Drosophila melanogaster: one gene and its partners. The protein of the gene in region 1 purifies or fractionates together with the protein of each later gene. This does not show direct contact. Each region holds a gene or a part of one and is shown on either strand. Other genes may lie near its edges. The genes, in order: shf, boi, dally and ihog.

The links.
Region 2: the proteins of shf (region 1) and boi purify together in Drosophila melanogaster (affinity purification with western blotting, with the first as the bait; one study listed by BioGRID). This does not show direct contact.
Region 3: the proteins of shf (region 1) and dally purify together in Drosophila melanogaster (affinity purification with western blotting, with the first as the bait; one study listed by BioGRID). This does not show direct contact.
Region 4: the proteins of shf (region 1) and ihog purify together in Drosophila melanogaster (affinity purification with western blotting, with the first as the bait; one study listed by BioGRID). This does not show direct contact.

The regions. Positions count from the first base shown.
Region 1 is NC_004354.4:6,776,108-6,781,967, reverse strand, and holds the start of shf (shifted), read left to right. Parts: upstream 1-2,308; 5' UTR 2,309-2,557; intron 2,558-5,860. UniProt on the Drosophila melanogaster protein: Required for normal accumulation and movement of lipid-modified hedgehog (hh) morphogen. May act by stabilizing the interaction between heparan sulfate proteoglycans (HSPGs) and hh, HSPGs being required for diffusion of hh morphogen.
Region 2 is NC_004354.4:2,466,875-2,472,421, reverse strand, and holds the start of boi (brother of ihog), read left to right. Parts: upstream 1-2,378; 5' UTR 2,379-2,531; exon of another isoform or gene 2,532-2,817; intron 2,818-3,010; 5' UTR 3,011-3,085; intron 3,086-5,547. Other genes in the region: trol (terribly reduced optic lobes), read left to right, coding at 1,228-1,270.
Region 3 is NT_037436.4:8,825,257-8,830,781, reverse strand, and holds the start of dally (division abnormally delayed), read right to left. Parts: upstream 3,278-5,525; 5' UTR 2,550-3,277; coding exon 2,279-2,549; intron 1-2,278. UniProt on the Drosophila melanogaster protein: Cell surface proteoglycan that bears heparan sulfate. Functions as a coreceptor for growth factors and morphogens, such as the products of dpp, to regulate signaling and distribution of these ligands.
Region 4 is NT_033779.5:6,944,117-6,950,462, reverse strand, and holds ihog (interference hedgehog), read left to right. Parts: upstream 1-1,654; 5' UTR 1,655-1,969; intron 1,970-2,038; 5' UTR 2,039-2,049; coding exon 2,050-4,710; 3' UTR 4,711-4,999; downstream 5,000-6,346. Other genes in the region: Gas41, read left to right, coding at 347-872, 931-1,088; Fgop2 (fibroblast growth factor receptor 1 oncogene partner 2), read left to right, coding at 5,467-6,346. UniProt on the Drosophila melanogaster protein: Mediates response to the active Hedgehog (Hh) protein signal in embryos, functioning upstream or at the level of patched (ptc).

The DNA of each region.
Region 1 (5,860 bases):
ATCCGAATCCCTGTCTGCGAGTCCCAAAAACTTTTTCCCGGACTTTTGCCAGCACTAGAACACCAAACTAACTAACTAACTTACTTACCACCAGAGACAACCAATCAAGAAATCAGCAATTTTCGCTTTTGTTTTGAGATCTCTTTTTTACACAAGAACACAACGAATTTTGAAAGCAAGCTACGTGAACGTAGAGGCCAACCGACAAACTATATTCGACGATATATGTAGCGATATCTCGGACTATAAATCGATGCAATCCACGAGCAGAACACCAAGCGAACCCTAGCACAAAGCGCGTTATATGCAATTCTCTCTCCAAACAACCAATATTAAATACCCGTGTGTGTGTATGTGTGTTAGAAGTTATTCAAATTGAAATTGAACTCAAAATCAAAATCAGAGATTTCAGAGTGCACGAAACAGAAAACAGAAGGCGGTATCTATCGATCAAATCAATCAATCAATGAAATCAATCAAAAATTCATTTTGCGACTCAATTAATTGAAGAAACTTTTAAAGTTACAAAACAAAACAAAATACAAAAAATACAAAAAAAAAAAAAAAAACAAAAAAGGCGAGGAACCTGTGGAAGAGATTAACTAAATTCAATTTGCTTTTAAATGTACGACTAACATTAAAAATATTTATGGGCATGTAATAATAGTTCTAAATAACGCTTTGACTTCTCCTTTCAATTCTGTGAGGAATAAATTTATTGATATTGCGTGTAAAAATATTAATCATGAGAAGAAATCTGAAAGCAGAGTTAAAACTGAATGAAATCGACCTCAAGTTGTTTTTACTAAGCAATACTCTGTCTCGTCTGAGAATAATGTCTTCTTATTTAGAAATGGGAAACAGAAAAAAAGGCTGCTTACTTGAAGAATTTAATTCCCGATCACCATAGCCATTTTAATAAACAAAAAGAAAAGTCAATTTTTTTTTTTAATTTGTGTTGAGTGAATTCGATCTTCTTTTTGCTGCTGCTTCCGCTGCCGCTGGCGCATCAATTGTGTTTACTAAGCTAACGAACCTAGGGACAACAATTTATTCTTGTTTTTTTTTTTCACCTATTTTTAAATTAAATATTTTGTATATGTAGAGAAAATTTTCAATTGTAAATGTATTTGTATTTAAATGTTATGTGTGTATTCATAAGAATGAAAATAGCTACCACAATCAATGTATTTTTCCTTTATCTGCAAAACGCATTTTTATTGGGGAAAAGGAACATGGGCTACGTTGCTTTCCAGAAGTCATTGAAATAAAAACAATTGTCGAAATAGGATTTTTCCTTATTGTACGGCCAATAAACACATATGACTATTTAAATTCGAAATAAAAATGTTCGCATTTTCGATAAGGGTGTAAGTCATCGAAATTTTCGATAAAATTACCGTTTCCATGTTTAAATATAGTTAAATGGGAAATTTAATTTTGAGTTTAGTGGGGCATGGCATTCTAATATTGTTCAACTCTCTTTGTTGCTATCCAAAAGAAAACTGATTATATTTTTCAAAAAATTTCAAAAATTTAATAATTTTGAATGGGCTTTTTCAATAACTTAGCCGAAAAGAGTGGCACTGTTTTGTACGACTTGTAAACAGACACATTCGCATTTATAACAGAGCGTAATGACAATTATTTAATTTTGTATATATAGGATTTATATCGCCAAAAATCTGGGTATGAACTTTGGCCAAAAATCGATCATTTGTAGCGGACGATGTTTTGGGAAAAAAATCAAATTAATTATTTAACCCATTTTTTTAAACAATTAACAATCTGCCTTTGATACAAAGAAGCAGTTACTAAATTTAAATTGTTTAATGCTTTTAAGAGCGAGGTTGCGGCTTGAAGCGGTTTGAGAGAATTGTTTGAAGGTTCGAGAGAGGCAACCGCAGTAGTGATGCCAATTTGGCTATTTTTTTTTCTGTGCAATACAAAGCGCCATTAGATTTTATGTCCTCACCAAATACCAATACTCAGAAGCACTTTTGTATAAATAAACTATGGCCAACTGGTTTGTAGAGTTCAACGAATGCATTGGAAGGTACGTACTTTCTATCAACAATTTTCCAAAATAATCATAATTTATTGTACAGTTCTATACGCGCCTAATTTTATGACAGTCATTTCATTAATACTTAATATTCGATGGGAATTTAAGGGGAATTTGGCAATTAAGCGTCATGTGTTCTTCCTTTCTTTTTAGCAGAGCGATCCGATCGAGGGAGCGGGCATCACTGCGCTGCGATCGAAACGTTCGCCGGTTTTCGTTGGTTTGTTCAGATGAGCTCAGGAGCTGCAGTGCGACGGTCGCGCCACGAAACTTTGCGGGATTTTTCAAGTGTCGAAACCGACTCTTTTCGCGTTTGTGTTCAAGCCCCAAAGGAGCTTTCGAGCCAACGAAATACGTGCAAAGTTTAAGGCTCATGTAAATCGGAACATAAAGGACCAACAAATCAAGCTTTACTTGTTTTTTACACCCTTGTATTTTGTCAACGAAACGACTGTTTGTTTTTTTTTGTTTCAAGCCGGCGACAGCCAACGAGTACGTAAAGTGTGCAAATTTGAAATTGAAAACTAACCTGTGATCCTAAGTTTATGTGATTGTTGTGAAAATATTGCTAGACATGCAGAGTTTTAATCTCGCACTAGCGCAATTTTGTGATAAGAACTAACTAAACCGCTGAAGTGCGAAAGCACTTGCATATTTTTTACCCATATCAATGGGTATCTCACCTGGCCATTCAAATCACCTTGCTCGATTGATCGAAAGATCGAGAGTTGATGTCCAGATTGTAGGCTTAAGTGCAATTGAAAACGGGCAGAATTTTGCATGTGAGAAGTGCACAGATATAAAACCAAAACAGATAAGCTAAATTAGCGAATATAACTTTTTCGCAGGCAGATTCTTGATCTTAACTTTCCCCTAACGGAATGATAGTTTGGGCCATTTCGAAACTAAACTGATAGTGCCAAGATTATTCGAAAATTTGTCGTAAAACTAATACCCAAGTGCCAAAGCTACCGAGGTATGTAGGGTATCTGGGATGCCCGCTGGTCGGCTGTACTTGACATGTTCGTTTTGGCGCGCTCGAAAGGCGTGAAAGTCATTGTCCAACGTTGGCCATTTGATTGCCAGCTCCTTGGAGCTGTATGCTGGATGCGGCGATCTGCGAACTGGTAATGAAGTGGACTGCAGTGGAGTGGAGTGGAGTGGAATGCCTGACTCTCCAGCATGCATACATATAGACACACGATCGCCTCATCGGAATCGGAATTCTGTGGCTCTCAAGTAGCTTCTGCTTCTGACTTTGCTGCTTCTTCTGCTTGTCCTGATGCCCATGCTGCCGGTTGTCCGGCAGCCTGCGTGTCTCGCTGCGCTGCCCCCTCTCCAGCTCCGCGTCCACCAACCTGAACTTCAACTCCAACTCCAACCTCCACCTCCTGCGGCACTTGAGTCCACTTGGAGACAGGCGTTTTTATCCGCCTGTTGTCTGGCTCCCCTCCTTCTACTTCTACCCCTCCTCCTCCCACTCCCTTTTGCCACTCAATTGGTGATCGTTATCATCAGTAGGAGTAGCAACCAGGATTAATGGGCTGCGCCAGTCTAGAGCATCACGAATAGGCCAACACCCTCTAGGTCAGGTGTCACAGCTATGACCTACACGGAGAAAATAATAATCTTAGAAATTAGGCATAATAACCTTGAGCTGATGCACTAAAATCCAGCAGATACTTTTGTATCTTATATATACTTTTGTATCTTATAGATACTTTTGTATCTTATAGATACTTTAATATCTTGTAGATACATTTGTTCCTACAGATACTTTTACTTTTTCTTAAAGTAAAACACACATGAATGCTCAAGAAACAATATGCTTCCAATTGGCCAATGTCCAAACACTTGATGGGTATTTAGCAAGTCGACTGTGGCCGTCCTGTCTGCATTATTTGCCCAAGGTGTTTTTGTTGGTGTTTCACACAGTCGCTTGGTGTTACTTTGTGTGTGCCAGTGTGAGTGTGTCGCTGTTGTTTCATTAAGCAAACAGAGCTGCAAGTGCCACTTGTTGCTGTTGTTGTTGTTGTTGTTGTTACTGGACATCATTTAAATCGGTAGCCGGGAAAGTATGTAACTCTCCTCACTCGCTCATCCTTGCTCATCTGGCTTGCTCTTTCATTCGAAATCCTTTTAGCCGATGACTTTGTCTTTTTGAGTCAACAAATTGCTTGTACTCTCTATACTACACAGGGAGAAACATATGATATGTTTGGATATTTTCAAAGCACTTGATCCTGATATCTGATCTGAGCAAATTCGTATGTACTTATATATCTGTAAAATAAGCCTAAGATATCCAAAAAATATTGTGTAATATCTCGGTTTCGACACATTTGTTTTGGATAACTACTGCATGGGTAATTTGGAATCGATAGGGTTTCTTTTCTCGGTGTATGTCATTTTTTACGTTGGGATTGTTTATGAACAACTTGCCTCTCGCTTGCACCTGCAGTACACCATTAATGGCTGGCTGTGAGTGTGCGATTTCCAGTGCCTCTCCTCCGCCCCCACTTCCTTTTCCAGTCTCAGTTCCATCCCATCCCATCCGATCCCACTCCACTCCGACTCCAGTCCACTCCAGTCCAGTCGAGTCCACTCCGCCACTCCAAGGGGCAGCTTCTTGTTCTCGTTGTGTTGCCTTTTGTCGTACCTTGTGTGTGTGTTTGGGTTCTTTAATTTTTTATTTTCACGTCTCATCGTCGAGTATTTGTTGTTGCCCCTGTGGATGCTGCTTCTTTATTTTCTTGGTAATAAGGTGTGAGAAAGGCAATAATCGTAAAGAGCTAACAAATTGTTGTTGTTGCGCTGCTGCCGTTCCTACTTTGATTGCTACTGCCACTCCACCTCCTCCATCTCCTCATCTCTCTTCTTTCACGCTAAAATGTTAATCTGTCCCTTTTCCTCCAGCTGAAGCAATTATATCGTTGACGACAGCACTAACAATGCATGGCCATCTTCATCTTCATTCCATCGACCTGATACGGTGTTTGATAACCACTTCCCTGCACTGCACCTGATCCTCTCACAACCAAACGAAGGGAAAGTAACAGACACGCGAATTCTTCAGTCCAACAGTAGTTGAGTGCTTGCTAACTGCTCAGTGTAATGGTGAAAAGGGGTTAAGTTAATGCTTATATAGATATATATGTTTATATATATACACTTTACACCTTTATGAATATCTCCCTATTAATTGCACGCTGACTAAGCTTTCCTCAGCCTGCGCTGCGAATGCGCCTTAGCTGGAAATTCCAATTCTGATTCGGACTTAGATTGACCATGAGTGGGATTATCTATGCGCCGGTGCCGGCTATCGCCATCATGTGCTTCCTTATCGGCCGACCGACCATTAATTAGCACGAAATAAAAATAATTTCAAAACAAAGCGTGAACATCGTATTTATAGGAAATCGAGGTCTGGCCCGGTCCCGATCCCGAGATCCCCACACGATCCCGATTTCGAATCCAATTTCAATTCCAATCTGTGATGGCCATATGACGTTCCCGTTTATGTTCTACATACATATATTTATATTGCGTTGTAATATGCCAGCTCCATGAATTACTTCCGCCTACGATTTCTTAACCACTGATTCAATTACTATCTGGATATACACATCGGATATATTCATGCATGCACGCTGGGCATCCACAAGAGCAATTAGTTCACTTAACGAATTCATTTCCCAGGGGCCGTTTTGCAGATAAGTTTGGAGTTGGATTTCGGTCTTGCTGCCCGATGATCCCAGAGCACAATCTTCGAGAGTCCGAGCCCTTTGAGTCGCT
Region 2 (5,547 bases), 4.3 Mb from region 1:
TATTTGAGCTGTTTTAGCTAGATCGTTTAAAGCCCATAAAGGGCTCTTTACTCTTAAAAATAAAATCAAAATCAACCTATGATGTTTTAAATTTAAATCTGTGTAGACATGTGTCTGCAGTACAATATTTAAAACCGTTTGAGTATCTCTTAGGTTTTGAAAGTCTTTAGTCATTCCAAATATAGGTATAACAAGTGTCATAGCAGCATATCCTAATCCATTTACAATATAGTCAAATACATTTGAAGGTGTTACCATTGAAATTATCGTGCCATATCATTGAAGAATATCATGTTATATTATACAAAGTATATTAGAACGGCAGCCGGATAAAGTAAAATAGATAATCGACTATATTAAGCTATCATAAAGGACATTAAATACATAAGAGTTTTTTTTTCCTAGTTAAATAGTTAGCACCAAATCAGACATATGCGGAGTTCACACATATGGTATTGTTACAGATCCTATCTAGTATTAGCCAATTCTTACTGGATTGTACTCCTTTCGAAGCCAAGCTCAGGTCACACAACTCTAAAGCTATATATTTGATCATACCCGAACACCAGTTATCTATAGGTAGAAAACTCTTGCATAGATAGGTAGTTCAACGTAACCATATCCTATAGGAAAAACCCTTAAAACAGATATCTGTGCAATCTATCCTGAGATACGGTAGCTTTAGCTCAATGTAGTCGAAATGTACTCTGCTTTGTGACCATATCTATGAATACTATTATTATTGTTACCAGCAAGGAATACCTATAAACCATATGAAACAATTATAAAATTATATATAATTTTACCAGATCTCAAAAAGCTGACTACGTTATTATTTGATACAGCTGTGTATTATCCAAGCTTATTAGCTAGATGTTCTTATAAAGATGGGTAGTTCTGAGATGCATAGTTTCCCAATTATTTAAAATAATATAATATATGTCAATAAAATAATAATATGGCATGTAAGAAGTTATAAATTCAAATTTACATTGACATTGAGTGTACGAAGAAAACCATAGTTCTTCTTCGCGTTGAGGCAAAGTCTGAAAATGCAGTTTGGCGAGGCTTTTATCAAATTTTATCAAATATAAGTAATGTATTTATTAAAGTTAGACCGCACACATTTGATTTTATAATAATTTTTTATAATAATTTTTTAATTACAAGTTTTTATTTTTTTAATTTATTTACAATTTCTCTCGTTTCTTCATTTTATTTAATTAGTAACGACGATCCACTGGGAGGAACCGAACCGCCAGTCGTCTGAGGACACAACCAACAGCCGAAACTAGCTTTTTAATTAAACATTAACAAATGAAACAAAACGAACAACAATTTTTATATATACAACATATGCATAAGCCCAAGAAAATCCACAAAAATTGAATATTATATCACTTACACATAATATAAAAAAAACAAAAACAAAAGAGAAACGATCACTTCAACTACAATTGCTTCTTCGATCCTTAAGTCTAAGTTAAAGATTGTAGCAAGGAAAAATGCGAAAATATCACAAACATTTATTTAACAAAAACGCCATGCAAGAAGTGAAACGAAACAGATACAATAATGCAACTAATGCAAAATAATACAGAAAATACAGTTAAAGCCTAGAACCCTAAGAACTTACTAACTAACTCGAGCAACAACAACGCATACTAGCCAACTGCAACCACAAAATCCACAATAGTGAAGGCATTTTAATCATAATTTTAGTCTCTAGCTTATACCTATGACTACGACTCTTTTTTTGCCAGCCCAGTGTAAAAAGTTGGAGATCGAAAATTGGCCCTACACACATACAAGACCACGTTATTGATTAAAAACCAATTGATAATACACCTACATACATATAATGATAAATGAATTACTAAGAATGCAACTATTGTGAACGAGCGAAAACCGTTGAGTGGATAAAAGCGAATGCAGAAGATATATTAAAATGAAATCAACAACAGTCTGGAATGTGTTTAATTGTGGGAGGAGTTCTTCATTCATAAATCATCATTTCCATAGATCATCTTCATCTCTATTAACGATTAAGATTAAGGATTAAGGATTCAGAATAAAGGTATTTATTATACTCATTATAAAACTTAAAAGGTATGCTCACAACAATCATTAGTTCCGACTTCCGTTATAATTCATTTGTAATATCAAAATACAGTGGCCTCCTCCCGATCAAGCAAATTCAAAATTGTAAGAGAAGAGAAGAATTCAATTACATTACAACAAAAGAGAAGAAAGAAGACAACTTCAAAATGTTCTCTTTTGGTTTCTCTCTTGGTTCTCTGCTCTTTCTCATCAAGATTTTCGAAGCGCGCCCAAAAGTATGCACGAATTGATATAAGTACTACATTACGTTACTTGGCTCACTTCGCTTCGCGCCGCCGAGCAAGAAAGACGTGTGTGCGGAGTCTGCGCGAAACTATAACAGAGTTATATTTGAATATATATCTCAAAATAAAATCGTCGTGCTAATAACGGTTATTTGTTTACCTTTTTTTTGGCTGTTCTAAATCCCTGTGAGTGCTGGTTCGGCTGCCCTTGAGGTGCATTCAAATTAGGAAGTGCAAAGAAAGAGAGAGCGAGAGAGAGAACGAGCGAGAGCGAGAAAAGTGCGTGTGCCAAGTTTGTTTTTATTTTTATAACGGCAGCCGGCTAAAAAGGCAGCGGCGTCGCGTAGGAAACACCTAATAACTATAAATTATGCCCTGGCGGAACATCAATACTTGGCGAATGTCCGTCGAGAAGTGATCTCCATATCCCCAGAAATTCGATTTAAGCCGATGCCAATCGCCCTGTTCTCGAGTGTGTGCATGTGTGTGTGTGTTCGAAAGGCTTTGAAAATGCCATAACATTTTAATGGGTTTCTGTTATTTGGACTGCCTTTTCTCTCGGCTCTCATTGTTCTTTTACTGCTTGTTTCTTATGTGATGGGAAAATCGCAAGAATGCTGCGACCAGTGATCAAAATCTAATCAAAATATTTACCGTTCGTTTAGAGTGCGACAAGCGGCGCAGATTGGAATTGGATTTGGATAGAGGATTTAGCTGCCCTTCGAGGTTTCAGTCAACAGGTGAGTTTTGCAACGGTAAATGGCCAATGGCCAGTGGCCAGTGTCTCGAAAGTAGTTCATCTGGTCAGTGCAGTCCGTAAATGTCGGTAAATCAGAGAAACCCCCTTCCCCGGAATTACCACTGCCATATCGATCGATTCCAGTTGACAAGTTTTTCGCGATGGTCATGTGGCCATGTCCTTTTTTGGCCAACAGGCGATGGCCAATGGCCAATTGCCAATTGCCGTTACTCTTATGTGTCAGCGGGCCCCCAACAAAATCACAAAATAACAACAAGTGTTGCACATCAAATCCAGCGCGTACATAAACCAGAAAAGTGCACAACCAAACCTGTCATCCGAGGTGGCAGGGGTCCCAAGACCATCCTTCATTCCCCTTTTTGCTCGTTGATAACATTAATGAACTGTCTATGTGCCGTGCACCAGAATAGAACCCCAAGTTGGGAATGGGATGGGGGATCGGGAGAGGTTGCACAACTACAGTGGGCCCTCCGTAATGTGGAGATCCTTAGACCAATATGTGAAACAATTATTATAATTCTTTGCAGAACTTAACTTTTCTCAAGAGTTTTTTTTTGTTTTTTTTTTGTTGTTGTATGCGCGGAACATAACCACCAGTTTCTACAGTCTCCACAGTCCGTCGTTTGCCAAGTCCACCTGTAGCTTAAGCACGCACATTTCTGTTGCCATTGGCAAGAGGTGAGCGAGCGGAATGCAACAGGCAGCTGGTCGCAGAACAAGATCATCTGGGAGAAGAGAGATAGAGATACATAGATGCATTCAGGGAACCGGACACTTGGCCAAAACCAAAACTAAAACCAATACCAATGCCAAACCTGAAACCGGAGAGCATTCCCATTTTCCAGCCCGTTCCCGCTAACAATAAATCAAAGGGCCGGGGGAAAAGCCCAACAATAAAAATCAAGCCAAGTGTCGTCGTCTCATTCTGCAGGCCAAAAAAGGGATGGAAGGCCAAAGGGGAATGGGAATCGGAATGGTCAGAGAGCCTTTGTCTCGTTGTTGATGGGATTTCATTATTACTTTCGATTGTGGCCCATTGAGACACAGTTCCTTAGCTCCGTCTTGTTCGTCGTCGAAAATGCAGACAAACAAAAAGGTCTCTCGGTCCAAACAAAAATAAACACACCGAGCAGCATCATCACCATCATCGCCGTCATCGTCATCGTTCTCATTCCCATTCCCATTCCCAGTCGCAGTCCCAATCCCAATCTTGTACCATCCACGTCGTCATCTTCCTGGTCTCCTTTGCTGCAACTCTAATCGCATAAGCAGATAGACCAGGTGAACTGTGGACGAGGGGAGCAAAGCGACAGGGCCACACTGAAAGAAGGTAGAAAATAAATAAAGCGATAAATGGAAAATAAATTTCAAAAAATTGCTTTTCAAGTGGCCCAGCAAACGAAACCCCCGCCCCGAAACCCAGGGCCCTATTCGATGTGGGGTCCACTCCAGCAGACTAGAGTCAGTCTGGCTAGCTACCGATCTGAAACATGGCTCTAGCCAGGTCCTTTTCACTGTTGAATCATTCGGGCTGCAATGAATCAATGGGAAATGGCTTAGCATAAAACGGGATAATTGGATGGGACAGTAAAGGGTCTCGATCTTGCAAGCATCTTAATTGCATCAATCGTACAGCCCACCCAGGCATGCGATTTAGAGTTAGAGGAGTGAATTCATTCCGCAAATGAAGAGCTTAACTCATAGCTGTACGCATTTCCAATTGATCTCGGCCACTATTTCCCATTCTGTGCGCTCGAATTTCATGGCCAAAACGTCCGCGATCGATTCTCACACCCCATTAGCACTGATCCACTGATCCAGTTTCCATCCAGCCCACATTCATAGTCATAGTCATAATGAGGAAAACAGAATGCTCCGAGTGCATTTGCCACAAAATTAGACATTGACACCTATTCCCCTTGGGATTTCGATTTCGAATTGGGTTCCGTAAAAACGGCGCATAAAAATTATTTCACGCCACACCAAAATGGGCCCCCAAGAAATTATGATTAATGCTGAAAACATAAATTGGATTTGATTTCTGTTTGTTTGCCGCTTTCTTGCAGCTTTGCCTCGCTTTTACTCGCTCTTTTTTCGGCGTTTTTGTGTCTTTGGGATTTGTTTTTGTTGGTCTTGGACTTCATGGATAACTTCCCCTTCGCCCTCTCTTCATCATTTTGTGTTGTATTTTTTTTTTTTTTTTTTTTTTTGCTAGGTAGCCGCCGCCTGTTCATTAGCACAGACTAATCATTGGAGCACAAGAGGCTGCCGTGGGGCAGGAGAAAAAAAGATCGAGAAAGGTGGCAATCAACGTGAATGAATGAATGGCTGAACTCTCGTCTCGACTTTGAATCTTGTGAATGAGCCTGAGACGCGGAGACGGCATGAATGGGAGGTATTCGTTCGGTCGGTTCGGGCGAGGGGTTATGTTTCTCCATGCCT
Region 3 (5,525 bases), on another chromosome or scaffold:
TATGCATACCTACGTACATGTCAGGGAAATGGAATCCGTTTGAAAAGTTGTCTGCTAAGCAGTTTTCCCCGCTCCAAACGAGTCACGTTTGCCTTTGCCTTCTCTATTTGCACTTTTCACTTATCTAGCCAGGCGGCACACAAACACTTGCCGGCGGAGGAGATACGCGGATACATGGGCTCATATCTCATGGCTTGCTCTAATTTCTGTTGCGAGTTGCTTAAATATTTAGTAACACGGTCGGGGGCATTGGAACTGCTATGCCTTAAGCATAGATACAGATACTACAGATACTTGCAGGTAAACAGATACAGATACTGTGCGATACGATTAGATACTGCAGCTACGACTTCCTGTGCGTCTTTGTAACGCGCCAATGTTAATGTTCATTTTAATAGGCACGGAGTAATACTGTTTTTTTTTTTTGGCCCAAAAGCAAAGCCAACTCAATTAGCAGTCGAGTGGTGTGCGCAATTAAATTAAAATTTAGTTTTATGCCGAGCGCCTCTACCGGGAACTGCACGGCAAAAGCAAATCGGGAGAAACATATCGTATGCATGGCACCGACGAGAGATTAGCATCACAAACAGCACATAAACGTAAAAGTAACACACTCCAGAGCAAACAGAAAGAGATATAGATGGAGATACGGATACGTACTGTACGGATACAGATACATTAACAGATATACATAGATACATTGGCGGGGCATAAATTCTACGGAGGCGGAGGCAGGCGCAAGTGGAACTATGTAAACAGTAAATAAATGTCGAAAACAAGGTTCGGCATACTTAAGCAGGAGCAACGACCAGAGATACAGAGATACATACATAGGTGCTGATCGGAGATACGCCGCCTGGCATTAGCCAAATTGAAATTCCTCAAAGCCAGCGCTAATAACTTCCAGCTACCAGTTCAATTGGGCATTCTGGCATTCAGGTGGATAAGTCTCTGGGACACACAAACATGCACTTGTAACGCCAACTCTCGGTTGGCTATTCGGTTCTTCACACTTTGATGCCATGGCAATGCGGTCTGCTCAGCAATGTATCTCATAGATAGTTCTTCTTGGCGTTAACTACCTGCGTGTGGGAACGACTGAACAGAATGAGCAAAGAGAACCGAGAACCTCTGCAGACAGGTAAGCATTGGAGGGAAAAGTTGCAACATCATCGCCAGATACATTTGTATTCCAGTCGAGTTTGCGGCTGTGTATCATGTAATTGTGCGTAAACGCGTAAATACCAAGTCAAGGTCGGCTAATCAATAATAATTATTTTTCACTCAATTACACGAAACAGATATATATTGGGTACATTCGCTCGTTTTCGACTGATATTATCGGATTGTATTGCATTATTTGGTTATTCGGTCTTATTTTTGACTTCGGGTATGAAATATGCATAAACAAAAATATGTCGAGTATCTTGTGGATATCGGCTGTGGTAAATATAAATATACCTTCCATAGCCTTCACACAGTTTGGCCTCAGATGCGTGCCACTTGATATGGCAGTGTCGAGAAATCAGAATAACAAATGATGCCGCCGCCTGTGTATCTATGTATCTCTGCATCTGCGAGGTGCCAGATCCGATATGTAATGAACCTGGCGCGGCCAAAAACTTTATCCACGGCACGTCGAAAACTTTTCCGAGGCGTTGCTCAATGCGCAATCTTCTAATTGCAAACGGCGCCCGGCTGTTCGAGTGGTCATAGTTCGCCTCGAGTGGCTGCCCGCTCGAGGGTTTCACTCAGTTCAATGAATTTGCATATGCTTCTAGTTTCTGGCGGGGATTGAGAAGCGGATGGGGTCTAGAACGGACTAGAAATAAGAGAAACTGCAGCTGCGGGATGGCAAAAACTTTGGCTGACGCGCGATTTACTTGGTTGAAGTATGGAAGACTGATGGCGAGGCGAGGGTTAAGACAAACTCTGAAATCAAGGCAATGAATTTCCCGCAAAAGAAATGTTTTTAAACGGAGAGGATGCAAAAGTAATTAAATTGAAAAACCATTATCAATAATCCCAATTTATGTACCTCTTTCTTATTTAATGGAGTAGATAACTTAGACTTTAAGTATTCGAACCACTCTAGTGACCTGGGGAAATAACATACGTTTTCCTCTGCATAGTTTAAAGTTAGTACGTTTGCTCCTAAGGGGCCTTAACCATATTGGTAGCTTTAACTTCCTCCATCGTTCCCCGCTTCTTCCCCAGCCCGCATGTCCAAGTGCATACTCGATATTATAACTCTACGGATGGATGGCGTGAACTTTACCTTTTTCGCTGTAAGTCCCACTCGACTTGATGTCGATCGATTCGAAGTAGCTCTTGACGGCATCACACTGGTGGGTCGATCCCCCAACGGCGTCCTTCGCCCGCGAGTCCCGCTGTAGGCGACGTCTGTGGTGCGTGGTGGCGCTGTGCAGGTGGTGCTGGTGGTGGTGGATACCATCCAGGTCCAGGTGCTTGGCGGCTGACAGGCCGACGAAGCCGCAGAGCAGGGTAAATAGCAAAAGCTGCGCTAGCCGCACGCTCCTGGCCGCCATTTTTGATGGGTGATTTCTGTGTGCAGACACAGTGGATGATGGGGCTAAATTTGATTTGCCTTTGAATGCTTCTCTTATTTTTATTTTAGCCGGTTATTTTATTTACTCTATTTTGCAGCACTTCTTCGTATTTACTTCTGCATGCTGTCTGGGTGAACAGCTGTTCGCGGCAACAAACACACACACTCACACAAATGCACTTGCCGGCTAACACGCACACACACACACTGGCACACACGGCCACAAACACGAGCGCACAAAACAAAAGGCCCCAAAAACACGCGTGAGCAATAAACGTGGTAGTAAACGTGGGATGGCGATAGTGGGTGGTGGTGGGTGGTGGTCGAAGAGAGAGCGCGTGTCTAGCACTTTTTGCTTTTCTACTTTCTAGTTTTGAAAGGTCGCTAAATTTCTCACAAGTATTTTCTTAACTTATTCAGAGACTTTCCATGACATAACAACGAATAGTACTCAATTCCTTAGCAATTGATTTGCCAGCGATTAGATTTGTTTTTTTTTTCTTCTTTTTAATTTTCTCCTACGTTTTGTGTACTTAGGTCGGCGAAAATAGATTTAATTGCAAAGCTCCTTGGCCACCGGCGTTCTCAGGTCGAGGAAATGCACTCGCCTTCTTTTCTAGCGTTTTTCCGCTCGAATTTCGCACCGATATTTTCAGTTTTTCCGCGCGCGCAACGAACCTTCCACGACGAGAAACCCGAACAGATTGACTTTGCCATCGAAATCAAACATCCGCCCTGAGTGCTACAACTTTAACGATGCGAACACGAACCACACTCGGCACTCGACAATCGGCGCTAAGAGAACCATCCGAACGCTCTCTTTCGAACAAAAGAGAACGGCGAGCACAGATGTTGGCACAGTGGTGCAATGAATAGAGGTGTTTATGCGAACTCAATTTAATTCACAGGTTAACGCCGAGAATACATGAGTAATACAAGGGCGCAATCTGAAATGAATTAATTAATTTGAGTCTTTAGAGTTTTGGAAAACGAGCTTCGAACTAAACCACAAACTTTGTAATGCTTATTAGATATTATAAAGTATTTTAATTAAGGAATGCCCAACCACAATTTATAAGATGTTGTATTTATTAACAGCATGTAGTATGAGTAAAAGGGGAAATTAAAGTTAGTAACGCAAGCTTAGCTTTCGTAAGATATCTATTCTCTTCGATGATTGCCAAACGATTTCGACAGCCAATGAATCTACGTAGTTCCATAAAATTTGATATGACACATATCCTGTTTTCGTTTTATATATTTCAATAGTGATTCGCATTTATTTATGGGTTCCGGCATTCTTCAGGACCAACTTCGAGTTTTCCCTGGCCGTGTCATCTGCCACAGGAGCTGGCTTGATTCTGATTATTTTTCTCTGTGTCCGATGGGCCTAAATATTTATTCAAATTCTCGAAATGCTCTTCTAAAAGCTTTCAACGTTGGCTCGCTGCAATTTGCATATTCAACGTAAATCAATCCATCTCACAGTGGTCTTCTCGGGTGCTCCGGTGGCTTTTAATCCGGGCTTTTATCGATGCCGCTGGTTGAAATTTGCATGCTCGGTTCTAATTGATGTCTGAATGAGTTCTAATTTTATTTCATAGGCTATGTTTTACGATCGGCTTGATGAACCCGTGGAGCAGGCTCAGATTTCACGCCTTTGAAGAGTCTCAGATGCTTGGCAGCTATTTCCCTAGGGCTAAATGTTTCTGTTCAAATTGATAGCCGTGTCATGACCTCGCACAGCACGTGTGGTGGTATCGTTTGTTTTTTTTTCTTCATTTCTTTTCTTTTGTTAATTTTTTCCCTTTGCAATTTGCGAAAACGAAGCGATTGTCTTGAGGCTGCAGCGGTGTGGCAGACAATGCACGACCCGAACACACCAGCCTCTTCTCCCCGGACTTTCACTCGTCACCCCGCGGGCACCGACCTCGATCTTAAATACCTAGGCGTCTCGGGGCGTCTGTGTATCTATTTCTTCATTAACAAGATACTATATAGCCAGGGCAGCGGGAACTTCATGGTGGTCAGTTGCGGGCGTCCAGCTGGGCGCAAACGCCCTCCCACCCCCCATGGATGTTTTCCGTTCCCGGTGATATGTTCATCACGAAATGGAATCCTATTCAAATTAGTGTGCGATAAAGAAAGACCTCCCAAAAAATAAGAAAAAAAAAAGGAGAAGACTCAAGACCCCGGGGCAAACAGCGAAAAGTGAGTCATGCGAAGCGGAAACAGTTCTCCAATGAAACGAATCCACATCAGAAACAACCGTGATGATGATGATGATGATGATGGTGATGGGATGGCGAAACGGCAACAAAAAACAAAAACGAGCTGGAAAAGGTGAGGTCGAAAATTAAACACCACCACATCGTTTAGATAAAGTTATAAATTATAATGTACACTACGGAACGATCGATGAGAGCGAAGGTCCCAAAGAAACCGAAACCGAAACCAAAACCAAAACCCTTTTACTTCTCGCTCTCTCGCCTTATTTTCCGTTTTTTTTTCCTCCTTATTTTTGTATCGCACAGGTAAACCGTAGGCATATATATTATATAGGTGTGTGGGTAAAGGTAGGACTGGAATTAAACGAATTTAGTCAAACGGCATCTATAAATTATGGTGCTTCTTTTTGGCGATCGGGAAAATATGAACGCTTTTAGCTCGGCTCGTTGGCTTGTTGGCCCAACTCGAATTTCGTTTAAACGCTTGATTTAGTGCAGCAAAATATGGCCAAATGTTGGGCTATCTATGCAGTTGTATCCGCTTGTGTTTGTGTGTGTGCGCGCATTCCACAAGCGACAGCGTTTTACACTTGAAATCCTCCGGAGCGGGTCGAAAAGAGATGGATATATATACCCATGGAGCGACCCGGCTTGCCTTTTATCCTGGCACAAACACGTTGGTGGCATTCGGTTGTTGGTGTGCCTGCCTGTGTGTGTGACTGGTCCAA
Region 4 (6,346 bases), on another chromosome or scaffold:
AAAGCGTCCGATTGATACAAGTGATGGAACCACAACCCACAATACAGTGCAAAAACAATCGAAAGACGCAATCGGAAACAAGGGATGCAATTAAGAAATAAGAGTGGCTTAAACTTAAAAGAAATAAAATACAGCTAAAATATTTAAATTAATTATTGTGGAATTTTCGTTAATTAATTAATAAATTAATTAAATAATTAATTCTTTTTTTTCATGTCCATAATTATATTCAGCCCTGGTATTCAGTGCATCCATATATCGATAACAACTGCTAGCCGAAAAGCAAGAAGAAGAACCAAAACAATATTTAGTTAACGAAGCATAAACAACTTAAAATCGTTGAATTATGACTGACTTTGGCGGAGACTCGGGTGGCCGACTAAAGGGCGTAACTATAGTAAAGCCCATAGTGTATGGAAACATTGCCAGATCCTTCGGCAAGAAGCGCGAGGAGGACGGACACACGCATCAGTGGAAAGTCTATTTGAAGCCCTATTTCAACGAGGACATGTCCATTTACGTGAAAAAGGTGCATTTCAAGCTGCACGAGAGCTACGCTAATCCGAACAGGATCGTAGTTAAGCCGCCCTACGAGATTACCGAGACCGGATGGGGTGAATTCGAGGTGATCATCAAGATATACTTCAACGATCAATCAGAGCGCCCGGTTACCTGCTACCACATCCTTAAGCTCTTCCAATCGCCTGTGGTCGATGGCGAGCTCTCCTCTAGCACCACTATGGACACTAAGAAGGGCCTGGTCTCGGAGTCGTATGAGGAAATAGTGTTCCAGGAGCCCACCCAGATCTTGCAGCATTATCTCCTGCTTTCAGAACAGAGCGCCAATGGGTTGCTAACCCATGACACTGACTGTAACTATGAGCTGATTACCATTTTGAATGTTTACTCATTAGATATATACTTTTCTAGTTGAGGAAAAGAAGACGAAAACGTTGGACAACATTGTGAATGTAAAACAGAAGGTCAAGGGGGAGATTGTTACACTTAAGGACAAACTAAAGCTGGCACGTGAGACCATTTCGAAGTTCAAGGCAGAATTGGCGAAGGTGCAGAAGCAACCTGCGTAAAATGTGCATAATTCTCTATAGAAATAATCTAAAAATTATTAATTAAATAAAATATTGGAAAATGTATTTTATTATTTTAACGGTGATATCCAATTCTTGGCTTCGGGTAACTAATTCAAATCTAACAAAACGGTTTAGGACATAATTTTATAGTATTGCAAATTATATCGATGGCTATTGATGTGGATCAGTGCAGTCTCTATAAACAGCTGAATTCATAATTCTATATAAATGTACAAAGAAACTACACTTCAAATTCATTGACTATGGTGCCATTGACTATATAACGTCGTAAATCTTACATGATTTGGTGTTTATTATTTTCTAAAAATATATGTAGCTTTTGTATAATATAAATTAATATTAATATTACTAAATATTTTTTTACTTAATTAAAATCAATTTAATAACGAGTGCTTTTGAGTAAGTTTCAATATGAACTGAATAAATGAATTTGATCTGATACCAGATAGATTCAGTCCACTGTACCGCGATGAACCGATGAATTCGGAATCACCGGTTCGCCGGTGAACGATGCAATGCATCTGAACCAGCGTCGCGGTTCGTTCTCCAGTTCCAGTTCCAGCATCCCCATGGAATAATAAATGCCATTGTTTATTTGACTTGTTGAGTGCATGTGCTTGTCCGGTGGCTTCGGGGCCCGATCGAAGCCCGAATTAAAGATACAATGATTTTATGGAGCTGCGTCGTTAACGTGTAATGTGCATAAATAATTTAGGCCCACGATTCCACGCACGCACACAGACACACATATGTATATAAGCCATAAGTGATGCGCGATAGCCGAGAGTGAAAATTATTAACTGCGCAAACGCAAACGCGTTTCCCCACCTAGAATCAGTCTAAAATCCCATAATAAGGTGAGTAATGCCATTAACTCTTAATCCTTTGAGTTCAAATATTCAATGATATTTTCGTGAAATTTTCAGTGCCCCCTCCAATGACGCTGCTCACATCCTCGCTGCTGCTCTTTTCGCTGCTGACGTCGCGGCTCGAAGCAATTCCGGTTTTGGAGAAGTCCCCCGCCCATCCTGCCCACTCTGCACATCCCGCACATCCCGCACATCCCGCACATCCCGCGCATCCATCGCCTGGCGTGCGAATTCTTCGCGCACCCGAATCTTTGGTGGCGCCCCTGGGAGACGAGGTGGTGCTGGAGTGCGAGACCAGTTTGCAGCCAGAGCGCTTCGAATGGAGCCACCGGTCCAGCAGATCTCCGGGAGCGGGGTTCAAGTACCTTAAGACAGGCACGGCCAAAGCGAATGTCTCCCAGGAGGCGGCCATCTCGCGACTGAGGGTGCTCGTCCGACCAGACACTCTAGGCGAGTACCGATGCGTTGGCTGGTTCGGTCCGCTGGTGGTCACGTCTACCATTGCTCGATTGGAGCTGGCCAGCACTAGCCTGGTGGACGCTCAGGAATCGGAATCACCCCTCCAATGGCGGGTGTCTGCTGGAAACTCTGTGCTCTGGTCCTGCGGACAACAGGTGCAATCGAATCCATCTGCCAGTTGGTCCTACTATCGAAACGGAGTGGAAATCAAACCGGAGTTCATCGGAACCAATGGAAATCTTTTTCTAAGCAATGTATCCTCCGAGTCGTCAGGCAGCTATTCCTGCCAGGCAACCAATCCTGCCTCTGGCGAGAGAATTCAGCTGCCCGGCTCGCTGCAACTACAGGTTACACCAGAGCAGAGGTCGGAGAGTAAATCTCCACACTTGCTCAGGGGACAGCCGAGCTCCCAAGAAATTACCATACGCGAAGGGAGTTCGCTGTTGCTGCTGTGTCCTGGAGTTGGCTCACCGCCACCGACGGTTGTCTGGAGCAGTCCCGATGTCGTGGGAGCTGTTAAGAACAAGCGTTCGAAAGTATTTGGACACGCTTTGGAGATATCCAACACCCGAGTTAATGATGCTGGCACCTATATTTGCTTTCAAGATAATGGAGTGCGGCCTGCGTTAGAACACTACATAAAAGTGCATGTCGAGCAGCCGCCTCAGATTGTGCGACCACCCTGGGCCGATCTTACCAACGAGGGCGATCGTTTGAAGTTGGAGTGTAAGGCCACAGGAGTGCCAACGCCAGAGATCTACTGGCTGCTGAACGGTCACAGCAGCATCGATGATTCTGAGGCTGAGCTCTCCAATAATTTCCTGATATTGCACAGCGTCTTGAAGCGTCATGCGGGCTATGTCCAATGCTTTGCACGAAACAGACTTGGTGAGCACAGTGCGGGTACACTGCTGCAGGTGAATCCCAAGCAGATTCAGGAACCCCGGGAATCGGGGGGTACACACAGGCCCAAGCCCAATCAGGGTTCCAGGCAGAAGCAGATGTATCCACCGACTCCTCCAAATGTAACCCGACTTAGCGATGAATCCGTAATGTTGCGCTGGATGGTGCCCCGAAACGATGGGTTACCAATTGTCATTTTTAAGGTTCAGTACCGCATGGTTGGCAAGCGCAAGAACTGGCAGACAACCAACGATAATATACCGTATGGAAAACCGAAGTGGAACTCCGAGCTGGGCAAGAGCTTCACGGCTTCGGTGACGGACCTGAAGCCTCAGCACACCTATCGTTTCCGCATCCTAGCCGTTTACTCCAACAATGACAATAAGGAAAGTAATACCTCGGCGAAATTTTACCTGCAGCCAGGTGCAGCACTTGATCCGATGCCGGTGCCAGAGCTTCTGGAGATCGAGGAATACTCTGAAACCGCTGTGGTGCTGCACTGGAGTCTAGCCAGCGATGCGGATGAACACCTGATCACTGGCTACTACGCCTACTATCGACCCTCGTCCTCGGCAGGGGAATATTTCAAGGCAACCATTGAAGGAGCCCATGCTAGAAGCTTTAAAATAGCACCCCTCGAGACGGCCACCATGTACGAGTTCAAGTTGCAGTCCTTCAGTGCCGCCTCTGCATCCGAATTTAGTGCCCTTAAGCAGGGGCGCACCCAACGTCCCAAAACCAGCACCACAGAGGAGCCAACACTGCAAATGGGCGACCGCGATACAACAACTCCCAGTCATAACGAGACATTCAATATGAGTCCCATGCTGACGGGAACAATCGGCGGCGGGGCAGTGCTCATTCTGCTTCTGATTAGCACCTGTTTCTGTGTTTGCCGGCGTAGGAATTCCAGAAGCCGGGGAAACAATCCAAACAAGCCACGGATGGCGGAGCTGAGAGATGACTTTGTGCCGCTGGGCAACTGCTCGCCCACCAAGCAGCGCCAGCGAACACGACACATCCACATAACCTTGAATCCACTCGCCCAGCAGCAGCAGCAGGCGCTGGAGGAGAAGAATGACACAGACCAGGATGCGCCCTATTATCAGCGGCCGTCGAGCTATGACTACGATCCCACGCTGCGCAGGATGTCCTCCTCCTCGCTGCGTCGCTCACAACGCACGCTGGAACGTGCTGGCGGCAGCAATGGCTCCAACAACGGCAACAACAACAATCTAAATCAATCCGCAGAGGCGGGTTCCATCGAAAATCCCGGCAAGCCGGGTCGTGTACTCATGAAACGCCCCCGTCTGTCCAGTCGCTCCGAGAACCTCTCCTCCGGCAGCCTCAACAGCGTTGGCGTGTAATCGCAATCTCGTGATCTTTAGTCTGTGCATCCCTACGCCCGATGTACCATGCTATTCCTCTACCTCTGTTTTATCTACCACTTTGAATGACAAAACCTTTGCTGTTTGTACTTAAATAGGTACTTAAATAGACATAACTAGATTTATGTATGCATGATCGTTTAAGAACATAGCATTATGTCCATTCTACGCTAAGTCTTCCATTTTTCGCGATAAGATCAAAATCTGTACTGATAGCTTCTTAATGACCTATACAAAAATGACAATAAAGCTTGTAGCTTCACCTTTTAACCTTAAAAGAGTTTTTTAACATAAACATAAAGGATTTAGCCAAAAAAATGACATCTCAAGCTAAAAGTTAAAAAACAAAATTATAATTTAAATCTTTGGTATATTTGCGGTATATCAAGTGTTGAAACAGTATTTTTTCGCATTCAATGAGTGGCGTTAGGGATTTGTGCAACATCCGATGGCGTTTGGGATTTAATAAGCTGTCAGCCAATAATTGGGTCGTCGTCAAAATTTCTATTAAAATCGTTTCTATTCCTACATATTTTGGCCGGAAAATCAAATGAAGCTGTTACGCTAGGGACGAAGCTGCACCTTACCCGCACCGAACGTAAGACACTGCTCGTAGGCCCCAGAAAGTGCACAAATTTAAGCGGTTCCCTTTGTTTTCGCAGTGCCAGCAGCAGAGGGCCTGGCCCCCGAAAACAATACAAATCCAAAAATCGCAACTGGACTGAATTGGGCAGGATGTCGAACCTATCCGTGGGCCAGATTATAATGGATGCGCAGCGCATGGCCAGTCGGGTGAAGGACCTGGACGCCCTGGGCACGGCGCTGCTCGAGGAGGCGGAGAACAACAATCGGCTGGTGGAGAGCCTTCGCCAGTATCAGGACGACATTGAATCACTCAACCGCATTTCGAACAACAAGACCAACGCGGACATGGTGAATCGCATTCAGCAGCAAAACATCAACAGCTCGGAGATACTCAAAGAGAATCGCGAGCTAAAGATCTTCATTGAGGACTACGAGCGTGCCATGGAGCTGATGATGCAAAAGTATCGCGAGCACACCGTCTCCAAGGTCCTGGATAGCAAGTTTAGCTTTAAGGAGCTGTACAACGAACGCATGTGGCAGGTGATCCGGGAGCAGCGCGAGAAGATCAACGAAATGGCAGCAGTGATGCAGCTAGCTGCAAGTGTAGATGACGGTGTCGTGCAGCGAGAGCTGCAGACCATATCCCAGCTGCGTCTGGAGAACGAAACGCTGCGCGAGCTGCTGCAAATCTCCAAGCAGTACGGCTCCTCGCAGCGACCGATTCGTGAGAGCGACCACCTGCTGGAGGAGAAGGCTGTGCAAACGGACAGTACGGCGGACGACTCCGCCGACGATCTGTCCATATCGGGCGCCTCGGTGGAAAACATGAACAACAACTCGGTTATCCAGATGTACAGCAGTCCGGAGCAACCGGCTAAAGTCGCCGGCACCACGAACTCATTTAACACTGCACCAGTGCATAGTCAAAGTGAAACACAAGCACCAAGTGTGACATTGGAGACGGCGCCGCCGGGGGAAGAGCCGCTGGCGAATGATAACAATAACGGACCTGCAGTCAACACAACCAGTG